Linked DNA regions of Ovis aries. The protein of the gene in region 1 purifies or fractionates together with the protein of each later gene. This does not show direct contact. Links are inferred from orthologs where the notes say so. Each region holds a gene or a part of one and is shown in the gene's direction. Other genes may lie near its edges. The genes, in order: ARID4B, SAP130 and SUDS3.

Evidence for each region.
Region 2: the proteins of ARID4B (region 1) and SAP130 fractionate together in Homo sapiens (co-fractionation; 4 studies listed by BioGRID, with this or other methods). This does not show direct contact. The link is inferred for Ovis aries from reciprocal best matches to the Homo sapiens genes ARID4B and SAP130.
Region 3: the proteins of ARID4B (region 1) and SUDS3 purify together in Homo sapiens (affinity purification with western blotting; 3 studies listed by BioGRID, with this or other methods). This does not show direct contact. The link is inferred for Ovis aries from reciprocal best matches to the Homo sapiens genes ARID4B and SUDS3.

What each region holds. Positions count from the first base shown.
Region 1 is NC_056078.1:7,336,990-7,340,636, reverse strand, and holds part of ARID4B (AT-rich interactive domain-containing protein 4B), read left to right. Parts: intron 1-2,770; coding exon 2,771-3,040; intron 3,041-3,647. UniProt on the Homo sapiens protein: Acts as a transcriptional repressor. May function in the assembly and/or enzymatic activity of the Sin3A corepressor complex or in mediating interactions between the complex and other regulatory complexes.
Region 2 is NC_056055.1:117,447,927-117,452,355, forward strand, and holds the start of SAP130 (histone deacetylase complex subunit SAP130), read left to right. Parts: upstream 1-1,519; 5' UTR 1,520-2,448; coding exon 2,449-2,520; intron 2,521-3,315; coding exon 3,316-3,433; intron 3,434-4,429. UniProt on the Homo sapiens protein: Acts as a transcriptional repressor. May function in the assembly and/or enzymatic activity of the mSin3A corepressor complex or in mediating interactions between the complex and other regulatory complexes.
Region 3 is NC_056070.1:56,885,097-56,888,743, reverse strand, and holds part of SUDS3 (sin3 histone deacetylase corepressor complex component SDS3), read left to right. Parts: intron 1-96; coding exon 97-116; intron 117-1,584; coding exon 1,585-1,741; intron 1,742-3,647.

The sequences.
Region 1 (3,647 bases):
CATATAAATATTTATCTAGTATATAAACTCTCTTAAGTAATTAGCTGGTACAAGAACTTTCAGTGTCCTTCCTTTGTAGTTCAGTTGTGTAAGATTAAATAATTGAATTTATGTAAAATGTTTGGTTCAGTGCCTGGCCCGTAGCAGGTACTAATAACCTATAATAGTTATTTTGGTCTTAATTTTGGTCCATTGTAAGTAAGGAATGTGACATCAAACTTGGGAAATTTGATTATTTGTGAGTTCAGATGAAAAAGTCCTCGTGGATACATTTGGTTTCCCAAAATGTAAAAGATAACTCATGTAATGTGTGTGTGTTGTGTTTATGTTTTTGTGTAATACATACATCCGCTTAGTATACCAGCTACATTTTATACTTTGAAAGGCTCTCTTTCTTGACATTCTGTGTTCTTTTTGATGTATCTACCTCTGATTTTTGCCACTGAGAAGAGAAGGAGGGGGAGAATATTTGGTTCGGCTGATGGCCAGTAATTGTGTTGTTTGCCTCTTTGTAGTTCAGTGTGTTATTGAGTGACTCATTTGATTTGTGTCTGAGGTTGACATTAAATGAGAAATTCTAATTTTTAATTTTTGATTGCTTTTAAAAATTAATACAGAGTATTAGGTTTTTATTCCAGATTACATAAAAGATTGCCCTGGCTACCACTGAAAGTAGGATTGTGCTAGCTATTATTGGTGTTTGCCGGTTGTGTTCAGTGCTACGTGTGCGTGTGTGCTCAATCGCACAGTCGTGTCTGACTCTTTGCGACCCCATGGACTATAGCCCACCAGGCTCCTCTGTCCATGGGATTCTCCAGGCAAGAATACTGGAATGGGTTGCCGTTTCCTCCTCCAGGGGATCTTTCCCAACCCAGGGACTGAATCTGTGTCTCCTGCCTTGGCAGGTAGATTCTTTACCCTTGAGCCACCAGGGAAGCCCTCAGTCCTATATGGTTTTTTAATGAACAGTTTCAAGTTAGTTTTTGTTTAAAACATTTTAAACTTTTAATCATCTATATCTCTTTTATGTTTTCTATAATGATTCTGAGATGCATGATAAATCTCTTTGGTGTATGATCCGTCTTTGTTGTATCTACCAGAATATGCTTCCTTTTCTCCCTGATGAGCAATGATACAATCTTCTGATTAAACAAGTAGTATTCTTTCAGAAAAAGCCTTACTGGTTAATTTTACATATGTTTATTACGTATACATAAATCAGTTAAGTTGTTAATAGTTTATCTGATAGTTTCTTAGATATTTCAGGCTTTCTGATAATTTCTTAGGTATTTCAGCTTTACTTACAATTTTTTCATTATAGAAATGTTAATAGATTTTCAGTAGCAGAATTCATATTTTTTGTCTCAGGTTACAGCTGGATTCATTTAATTTTTAAGTACCAATTTGACTATAAACAAGTCTTTAAAATAGGAGTAATTCTTAAGAATCTTTGTAGACTTTGTGATGCATTTCAGAGAAAATTGACTCATTTGGTACTTTTGTGAACTCAGACTTAATTTCATAAGTGTATTAAGCTTCCCTTCATCCCTGCTGCCTCACTGTATAGAAGGAATAAAAAAGCCCTACAGTTCTAGTTGTGACAGTATTTCTAGTTTATTTTTTGTTGCCTACATAATTGCATAATTAGGAATGATAAAGTATGTTATTGCTAAAAAAGTTTGCATAAAAGAATTTAAAACTAAAATTATTAGTGGAGGAAGATTTTTTTATCTACATACTATGCCCATTAACTTTTAAGGGTTAGTTACTTAGCTGTCTTATGGTTCTATTTTATGACATTTATTCATTTGTCAGCTATAAAGTGATGGATTCTTTTTGAGAGCAAACTGTTGTAATAAGGATAGACATACTGCAGAGTAAATAATTGAAGTTTTTTAAAAATAAATCTAGTGCATGGAAAATTTATAATTTAAGATTTTCCCCCAATTTATTGAATACAAATTTGTGATCAATATAAAATGAATATGATTGTTTTAGAAAGCACGTGATATTGAGAAGACCAGAATCGTTGCGTTGCTGCTTCTAGAATGCAAATGACTTTCAGTTTCATATTTGCAACTGGTCTCTCATATGCCTGTTTCTTCAGAACTTCAAAGTTGAGAGAATTGGTAGAAGAGGACTTTTGGTAAATATGGAGAAAAGAGAGCAGAAATTGTGTTGAAGTTTAGAAGAATAGAAAAAACTTGATGCGATTTTAATGTGAACTTAGTAGGATATTCCTATAAAAGGTGAAGCAATATTTCATTTAATACAACTTCAGAAAATCTGGTTGAAATTATTTTAATTATTAAAACTAGCCATTGGCTAGTAAAAATTTGTTTAAACTTTTATCTGGAGGTTGGAAATATTTGAATGAAAAATATTTTTTAGTCAGAAAATGGCTATGAGTTACGATGATTTTTGTTTTTGTTAACTGAGTTGTAAAGAAATTCTACAATAAAACATGAGGAAAATGTTAGCGTCGACCTTACTAGCTAGTTTCTTGCTGTTCAGCACAACTTCTGTTCTTCTGCCTGTTGGACATTTTCTTTCAATACACTTACTTTTCAGTTTTCATTTTCTCTGAATATATCTTTCTGTAATCATCCATGGCCATCTCATACAGGTTTAGTGTTTGATATTAAATTGAAACTCAGAGAATATCATACGCTTGGAACCTGCTGTTCCCGGAACAATCACAGCCACGATTTTTATCAATTTATGTGGTTTGGAACTGAAAAGCTTATGAAGTGTCTTTTATTAACTGCAGTTTTTTAAACCTTTCAAGAGATGAAACGAATAAAGAGGAAGAGGAAGATGATGAAGAAGTAGAGGAGGAGGAGGAGGAGGAGGAAGAGGATGAAGAGGATGATGACAACAATGAGGAAGAGGAGTTTGAGTGCTATCCACCAGGCATGAAAGTCCAAGTGCGGTATGGACGAGGGAAAAATCAAAAAATGTATGAAGCTAGTATTAAAGATTCTGATGTCGAAGGTGGAGAGGTCCTTTACTTGGTGCATTACTGCGGATGGAATGTGAGGTAACTTGAGTTTTAGCTAGTGATTACTACCTAAAAAATCTTGTACAGTAATTTTCTATTTTAAAATTTAACGAATTATAGATTTATTAGTATTCCAATTGAGGTCATAGTATACCATATAAAAAACATGGAGTTTTGACTTGTAAATACCTCTCTCAGTGACTTCCTACTTACTGTTTTCAATACTTTAGTCTAGAAAACTAAAGTCTGTGTAGTTGATTTTAATTTTATGCATGTAGATTAATAGGGGCAACATTGTTGGTAAAATGATAGAAAATTTTCTTTAAAAGTTAAAAGGGATTTAAGCTTCTTGAGGTCTACAAGCCAATTATGAGGCTTCTGGCTCTCTTGCATTTTCATCTACCTTTCCACGGTAACCTCTTGTTTCCTTCTTAAATCATCCCATTTTCTTGCCTTTAGTAGGCAGGATTTTAAAGTTGCGATTTCTTAGGAAGCTTTAGCTATTTCAGGAAGACCTTATATCTGCATTGGCAGCTCTTGCATGACATCTTGTTCAGAACCCTCAGAAATTAATTTTTATGTTTGAAACAATGATTGAAATATGAGCAAATCTGCTTGACTGAAATAGGGTGCATGGTCCAACTCT
Region 2 (4,429 bases), on another chromosome or scaffold:
TTTAAGACATATTTGTGGAACTGTAGGTGTACAAAGCATGAGAGAGGTCACCACACCAATGAAACTGAGTCATTTTTGAAAATTATACTTGAAACTCTGAGGGCGCATTAAACTAGTCAGGAAGATGGCATAGCATTGAGAGAGGTCTAGAGCCTTGGAGAATGCTGCACATGTGAGAAAGGCAAGGCATAAAGGAGCTTAATAGAGACAGAAGTAGCATCAGGAAAGAGTGTGTTTCTGGAGACCAAAGGAGTTTATAGTTGATTTACAATGTTGTGTCAGATTTTTTTTTTTTTTTGGAGTATAGTTGAAAAAGACTAAATGTAACAGGTGAACAGCAAGATGATTCAATTACACATATACATGTATCTATTCTTCAGTATTCTTTTCCCATAGCGAAGGAGATTTTAAGGAGGAACTACTGTTGGTAAACTAGACAAGCTGAAAACTAAGCAAAGACTACTGGGTGAGGTGAGAGAGTCACCGGCAACTTAGGGGGGGCAGTTTGAGAAGCAGTGGCAAAAGCAGAATCAACTGCCTAAGGAGAAGAGGCTAAGGTAGATCACATCAGTTACTTTTAGAAGAAATTTGAGAAGGGAAGAGAGCGAGAAACGAAAGTGGCTTGAGGAAGAAGAGGGGTATTTTAGGTTCATTCCTGTAGCCACAAGCTACGCTCTTCTAGCAAGAACATAGCTGTGCATGAAAGGAGGAAGGATGTGAGCCCTTTTTATTTCTTAACACAAAACTCCAGACCTAAATTACCATCTGGGACGGAAGGAGGGAGACATAATCTCTATTGATCAGGCTCAGATTTTGCTTCGGCAGTTTTGACTAAGTCTTGCACAGCCGTATAAACGCCATCCCTCCATTCTAAACAAAACAACAAACCACCACCACTCCCTCCGCTTCTTCGTAATTTGGAAAAACCAAGCAGGTACAACGTGTCCGAGTCCTTCGCCTCTCCGAGCCGGCTTTAAACCTGAGAGTGCTCAGCTCAGCTCTCTGGTGGGTCCGGCCCGATGAGCAGCTGCTGACGCGGAGTCCAGCGTAAACCCCACAGAGTCGCTCCAGTTTCTTGCATCTGATCCTCCCACGACGCTCAGGCTTCGCGGGCCATGGCCTCGGTGCGAACATCAAGTACAGTTAGAAAACCCCTCGGCCCTGCCTGCAGCTCCTTCGGCCCACTGTAGTCGGCCTCCATTACTCTTTTCCCGCGAGGCACCTCCCTCGAGAAAATGAAACCTGGTGCCATCAGCTGAAGCAAAAGGGTGGGACGTTTTTACTAGGCACACGGAAAAGGCAGAATCGACTCCAGACAGCAAAGGGGTGTGCAGCCCGGGCCGGGTCACCAGGATGCCCCGCCCAGGCCCGCCTTCTAGGCATCAGGGACTACATTTCCCAGAGGTCTCAGCGGCCGCGAGGGGCTGGCCGGTCCGCTCTCCGCTCACACTGCGGGGCGACTGGCTTCCTCGGAGGAGGGCGGGGCCTAATCCAGCCAATGGGTGAGGGGCTCGTTACGGCGGCGGAAGCAGCGGCGCTGGGTTGAGGGGTGGGGGGCAGAGTGCTAGCGCCTCGGCGGCGGCGGCCGGTCCCGGAGCCCGAGGACGTCGGCTCCACAGGCGGAGAGCGCACGGAAGCAAGCTCGAAGTGGCGTGGCGGCCACTTGGCGCAGCACTCAAGTAATGGCGGGACGGGCGCCCGGGAGCGAAGGGGAGGGGAGGAGACGAGGGGGCGGGGCGGCCGAGCCGGGCTGCAGCGTCCGTCCCGCTGCGCGTCCCCGGGGAAGGGCAGCGGTGCCTCGTCTTCTGCGGCGTAGATCTGGGCTCTTTCGCGAGCTGAGCATGGCAGTTAGCTCGGCGGCAAAGGCCCGGTGTCCTGCGGCAGGGAAAGGAGAGGCGTCGGGAGGGCTGGGCTGATCCGGGCGTGGGGGCGTGGCGGGCGTGGGCCTTGGCGGGGAAGCTGAGAGGCCGGGGGAGCGCGGGCGGGCGGGCGGCCCAAGGAGTTTGGCTCCTGGAGCAGTTTAAAGTGACTCTCCACATCCGGGCCCTGCGCCCGCCGCTTTCAGACCCCGACCGAGGCGGGGCCTCCTAGCTCCCCGCCCCTTTCGCCGGCAGCGCTTGTCTTCCTCTGCTATTGGCTTAGCCTCGAGGGCCTTGGGCTGCCCCGGCGAGGCTCGCGCCTGATTGGCTGGCAGTCGGCGGGAGGGTGGGGCGGGATCAGAGCTGGCAGACCGCGGTGGATTGGCCCGGGCACTGGAGTGACGCGCCCGGCGTGGGGCCAATGGGCAGACTGGGGAGGTAGGGGCAGGTTCGGGGGAAGAGGACTGGAGCGGAGCGGTGGCCGGGTGGCCCGGGTGAGCGGGGCCAGAGGAGCTGGACAGCGGCGGGCCCGAGGCGCGCTGCGGCGCGAGCCCTCCCGGCGACCTCGGAACCCAGCGCTGCCAGCGAGATGGGTCCTCCGCGGCCCTCTCAGCCTGGCGAGGTGGAATCGGGAGCGGCGGGCGGCGGGCGGCGGCTGCAGGTAAAGAGGCATACTGGTCCTGAGCTCCTCAGAATGCCTAACCCCTCTCCGGAGAAGTCAGAGACCCCATGTGTCTGGAGACCCGTGTTCTCCGATCTCAGCTGTGGGCTTCGGGCTTCTGGGTAGGGGTAGGATTGCGGGCTATCGAGGATATCGGCAGAGCTTGGCTCCTGAGGGGAAAGTGAGGGTCGATTTCAGGGAAGGTGGTGAAGGTCTCGGTTCCCTTTGGCTCGATGGCCGTCTGTGAAAGGGGTGGGATGAAATCCGTCACTGAAGGCCTGTGCAGAAAAACATGAGAATTCCTTTTGGATCAGGTCTTGATGTAAGGTTTCTAATCCTTTCTTAGGACAGGGCGTCTGCCTCCGATTCCTCCCCTGACACACTGATGACAGTTTTGTACACCTTGGTGGGAGGCTTGGCTTTCAAAGGCACAAGCCATTTGTCATGAAACTTTACAGAGAAATATATGTGTTGTGTTAATACATGTCATGTGGCTGTTGCACGCGATGTAGTGTCGACTTTTTCGTCTGGCAGTTCACAGGTATTTGGGGGGGGAAGTCATAATAGCCCTCAGTATCACATAAGCGATTTTACCATTAACTGAACCTATGTACACGGAAAACTTAAACGATTTGGACCACTTCTGCACTGTATGTTGAACACAAGTATTAGTTTCAATCAGTGATGCTGCATTTGCTTTCCTAAAAGAAGGTATAGGTACTAAAAATGCTTTAATTTCTCATTATTGGTTCTAATCTCAGAATCCAGTAATAACCATGTGACTATGCACTGCAGGTGGAAATGAGTTCTCAACAGTTTCCTCGGTTAGGAACCCCTTCCACCGGGCTAAGCCAGGCTCCTTCACAGATAGCCAACAGTGGTTCTGCAGGATTGATAAACCCAGCTGCAACAGGTGAGATGTGTGACATTTTTCTGCATTGCTTTCTGCTTTTAAAATATTGCAGGTTTTCCAACTTAAAAAATAGCAAATTCTTGGTGGGGTTTTAGTAAATACTAGGTTATTGAGTTTGAAGAAAGGATATATTACAATTCTACTGTAAATAAGGCTTTTTTTCCGTCCTGTTTTACTCACTTGATTCACATGTGCCAGAGTATAGGTGAAACCTAAAGCATGCTTATAAGATACATTTTTTAAATGTATTAATGTGTTGTTATTTAACTAAGGCCCAGAAGTATAATAACAGTGCCATGAGGGTGGGCAGAGGCATAGGAACTTACAGGAACTTACCTTTTAGAAACTTGCCTTTTAGTAACTTACTGTTCAGGAAAAGAGATTTCTCTAAAATGTGTATGCACACACATATGCAGCTTGGGTTTTAACTGTGCTCTGAAGGCTGTAGATCAGTGAGTGGCCTCAGCTGGTAATGATTCGGCTGGCCAGGGAATGTTTGGCAATGTCTGAATACAGTTTTGGGTCTCACAGGTAGGGGGTGCTACTGGCATCTGGTATTTATTTAGAGGCCCTGGATGAAGCTGTTGAGTATCCTACATGATGCAGAACAGCCCTCCCCCACCCCCAACAAAGTTTCCAGTCTAATCAGCAGTGCTGAAGTTGAGTTACTCCTTCAAATAATCTGTATATTATATATATCAAGTAAAAAGTATTATTACTTCTGTATTGGTAAAGTGAAATAAAGTACTCCTTTTCCTATTCCTTTCTTTAGTGCCTGATTTCTGTGCTCCTTATCATGGTATTCCTCCTACTTAACAGTAGCTGCTGACATTTTCTGAATAAGCGATAAGTTCCCAGTTTTCTCGACCTTGGGACTTTACATAGTCTGGTTTTTGTGCTTTTCGTTTTTTGTGGGGTTTTTTTTGGCTACAGTCTTACTTCTTCCTCTCCACACTTACTTATCTAGGTATTCTTTGTTCTTTCCTGAGGTTTCAT
Region 3 (3,647 bases), on another chromosome or scaffold:
CAGAAAGCAATTACTGCTTCTAAATGAATCCTAACGTCACTCTCTAGAAAGGTGGTACAGCTTCGCGAATCTAATTGCATGTTTTCTCTCTTTCAGAGCTCTTCCTCCAGCTGGAAGTAAGTACCACGGGTCTTCTGGGCTTGCAGGATCTTTGTCAGGGTGGGATCTTGCTCTCCCAACCCAGTGGCCTTTCCTTCATCACCACATAGACATAGCTGCTGGGTTCGCAGAGGCCCGCTGGAAGCCTCAACTAGGGTTCTGTTTGACTAAAGGACATTTGGTCTCAGCTCAGAAATTCTGTTTGTTGGTGGGGCAGCCTGTGCTTATCCCAGGGGCTTGACAGATGGATACTCACCCCTCACTGCTTTCTTGTTGACTCTCATCTCACATTACAGCCGTTTGGGGGTACATGGTAAAAAACTCACTTGCCGGTGCAGAAGACATATAAGAGATGCACATTTGATCCCTGGGTCAGGAAGATCCCCTGGAGGAGGGCATGGCAACCCACTTTAGTATTCTTGCCTGGAGAATCCCATGGACAGAGAAGCCTGCTGGGCTGTGGTCCATGGGGTCATAAAGAGTCGGACCTGGCTGAAGCAAATTAGCGCACATGCACGCACTGAATTATAATGGCCTAATAGTTGGTTATATTGGTCCTCAAAGCAGCCAGGTCTCTGAATCAGCTCAGTTTCATCCTTTTGAAACTCCGGATGGGAGGGAAAGACTGATTAAGATCTTTGACTGAGCAGATGCCTGAGTGCTGGTTCCATGTGAGGTGCAGACCTACAGGCAGTGATGAGGGCCAAATCTTGGGTGATGTGCTGGCTCCTAAGGGGCCAGTGTGTGTGTGGCGAAGCGGGAGGGTGGGGGAGTGGTCATGGTTTCTCACAGCTACGTTATTGGAGACTGAAGTCAGCACAAACACGCATAGTCATGGCCCAGAGGGTCACACGACCCATAGCCATACCCACCAGGAGTCCCCTTGTTCTTCACTTCAGGAAATGATGAGATTTGGAAAATGGATGCTTATGCATTTTTTTTTTTACTTAGTATAATTTCACTGTTTGAGTGTCTCTCTGGGTTCAGGCACCTAATAAGTGATCTTGTCCTCTTGTTGGTCTTTATCTTACTGCTGGATCTAACCTTACTGTACGCATCAAAAAATAGGGCAACTCAGGCTGTCTTGGTATCTTATAACTCATCTTGAATATAGGTATTTCATCTGGAATATACTATTTTCCTTCGAAGTTGTATCTTCAAAAGGGTTTGTTTACTGTTTTTGAGAAACTTAGGTTTTGTTTCCACATACAAGCCCCAAAGTATAAGATGTGGAAGAGAGGGAAATACCTGATTACAAGTGAGGGATTCACATAAAAACCAGAAGTTATGTGGTTCAGTTTCATGCATGCATTGGGAAGCTTGCTCCTAGACACCCTGTTACTGCTCGTTGGTGTGTGACTGCTGCTGTCTCTCTTATTTCTAGAAAAGGTATTTTCTTGGTGCTTACGCACAGAACAAGGCTTTGTGTTCAGACCCTGGCTCCCAGGGTTATATAGCCACAATCTATGTTTCTCTTTTGCTTAGACGGAACAAGTGGAAAGAAATTACATCAAAGAAAAGAAGGCGGCAGTGAAAGAATTTGAAGACAAGAAGGTTGAGTTGAAAGAGAACTTAATTGCTGAGCTAGAGGAAAAGAAGAAAATGATTGAAAATGAAAAGCTAACGATGGAACTGACTGGAGGTATGAAAGCACCACAGAACAGGATCCAGGGAAATTTGAGGGGGTCTTTGAGGGAGGAAGGCACTCCAGTGCTGACTCCTGTCAGTTCCTCATCATCAGAGCAGAGTGAGCTGAAAGAGGGGTGAGGGGACAGTCTTTGACATGGCAGGTCATAGTTATAGCTCTGTTTTGTATTGGCTGTGTGACTTTAGTCAAGCCACTTAACCTCTCTGAGCCTATTTTCCCCTCTATAAAATGAGGCTGATCATACCTTATTCCACAAAACTGATTAGAAATATGAGTGCCTAGTACAGGACCCTGTACATAACAGGTGTTGGTAAATTAAATGGTAGACCTTTATCAGTGACTGCAGCATCGGGCTTCTGCTTTATTTAACAAAATTCCTGGGTCAGCTGTCATTCCAGTCTTGCTTATCTTCACGAATTACTCGCCCAAGTTCCGCTCTGCTGGTGGAAATCCCTCTGTTTTTTTTTTTTTTTGGTGGGGGGGGTCTACCTTTGTTATGGAAAAAGCATTGTCTTAACTTTGACCTGACTGTGAGAACAGAGGCTTTGGCTATATCATCTATGCTGTTGCTTCACCCCAGGTGTTACTGTGAACATTTCAGCAGGGGTAGCTAAACTGAGTTGTTCTCCTGTGAAGCTAGTAAAGTTACGTTAGACTTGGAGCCAGTCACTCCCTGGCCTTCTAGGATTCAGTCGTCTGCATATGGGAACTCGGCAGGTTTGAGGGAGAAGCAATATGGGCTGCTTTTTCTGTTGCCATATGTAGACCAATGACTCTGAGAAGGATACAGGATGGGAATTGGCTTGAACTAGCTGTTTTGGAACTTGGCAAAATTTCCACCAGCAAATACTGAAGGCACGTCAGTGGTGAGTTTGTCACTTGGATTTGTAAATGGCATGCCTTCTGCGCAGCCCCAGATTTACTCTTATAATCATGTTCAGAAGGTCCTGGGGCTCTGGCATGTCTCATTTTTGTTGAATGCTCCAGAAGGACCTTGTTTTATGTAAGTCCTCGGGGCTGACTTTGAAGCTAGAAGTAACAGTTTAGAGCTTTATTTCCCCTTTGGTATTTCTGGTGCTGTTAGCCCACCTGGCCCTCCCCCTGACATGGACTTCTAGCGCCAGTCCCCACGACACACCAGTGATATGTGGTTGTGTCTAAAGTAGGGGTCTGGCTCTTGAAAAATCTCTCTTCTGATACCTTCCTTTTTGAAAGACTTGGCAAAAGGAATGAATTTCTTGAAGACCACTGACTGCAACTCAGAAATATGTCCTGGTGAGAATGAATGCTATATAAAACAGCATCTTCAGAACAGCACCGTCTTGTTCTTGTTGAGGCGCTTTTTTGATTAAACTGAGAGCGCAGTGGCGCCTTGTCCGGTCCCAGTCTGCGTGGCTGTATTCTGACCTGCACACCCTCTTCTCCAATGTGGCTCCGGTGGCATTGACGCCTCATCGATCCCCGCTAGAGCCACCAGATGCTCGGAGCCTTCATTAGGCGAGTGGGAAACATTGTCAGTTTACAGCCTCTCCCTTTCCATCTGTGGGGAAGGCTGTCAGCCCCTCACCTGTGATTTGGCATCCTAAATATTGACAGGCAATAGTCATTGGTGAGCCAGGCTGTTTTACAGCCGGAATTTTAACAGGGACAGGAGACATCCTCAGTGACTTAAGAGGCCGAGCCTGCCAGGGTAGAAAAGACAAATAAATGCAGGGAAATCATTTATGACGCAGTAAAATAGACTACAGGAGTGCTTACAGCCTGCCATGGGCATTAAAGGTACTGATGTCCTTCCTCAAGCCGTTTGGTACCCTTGGCATGGAAAGCGCTGCCAAGGTAATGATGGACTATCTGAAGGGAAGGCACTGGAGCTAGAAGGGTAACGAGCGTTTCCACAGAT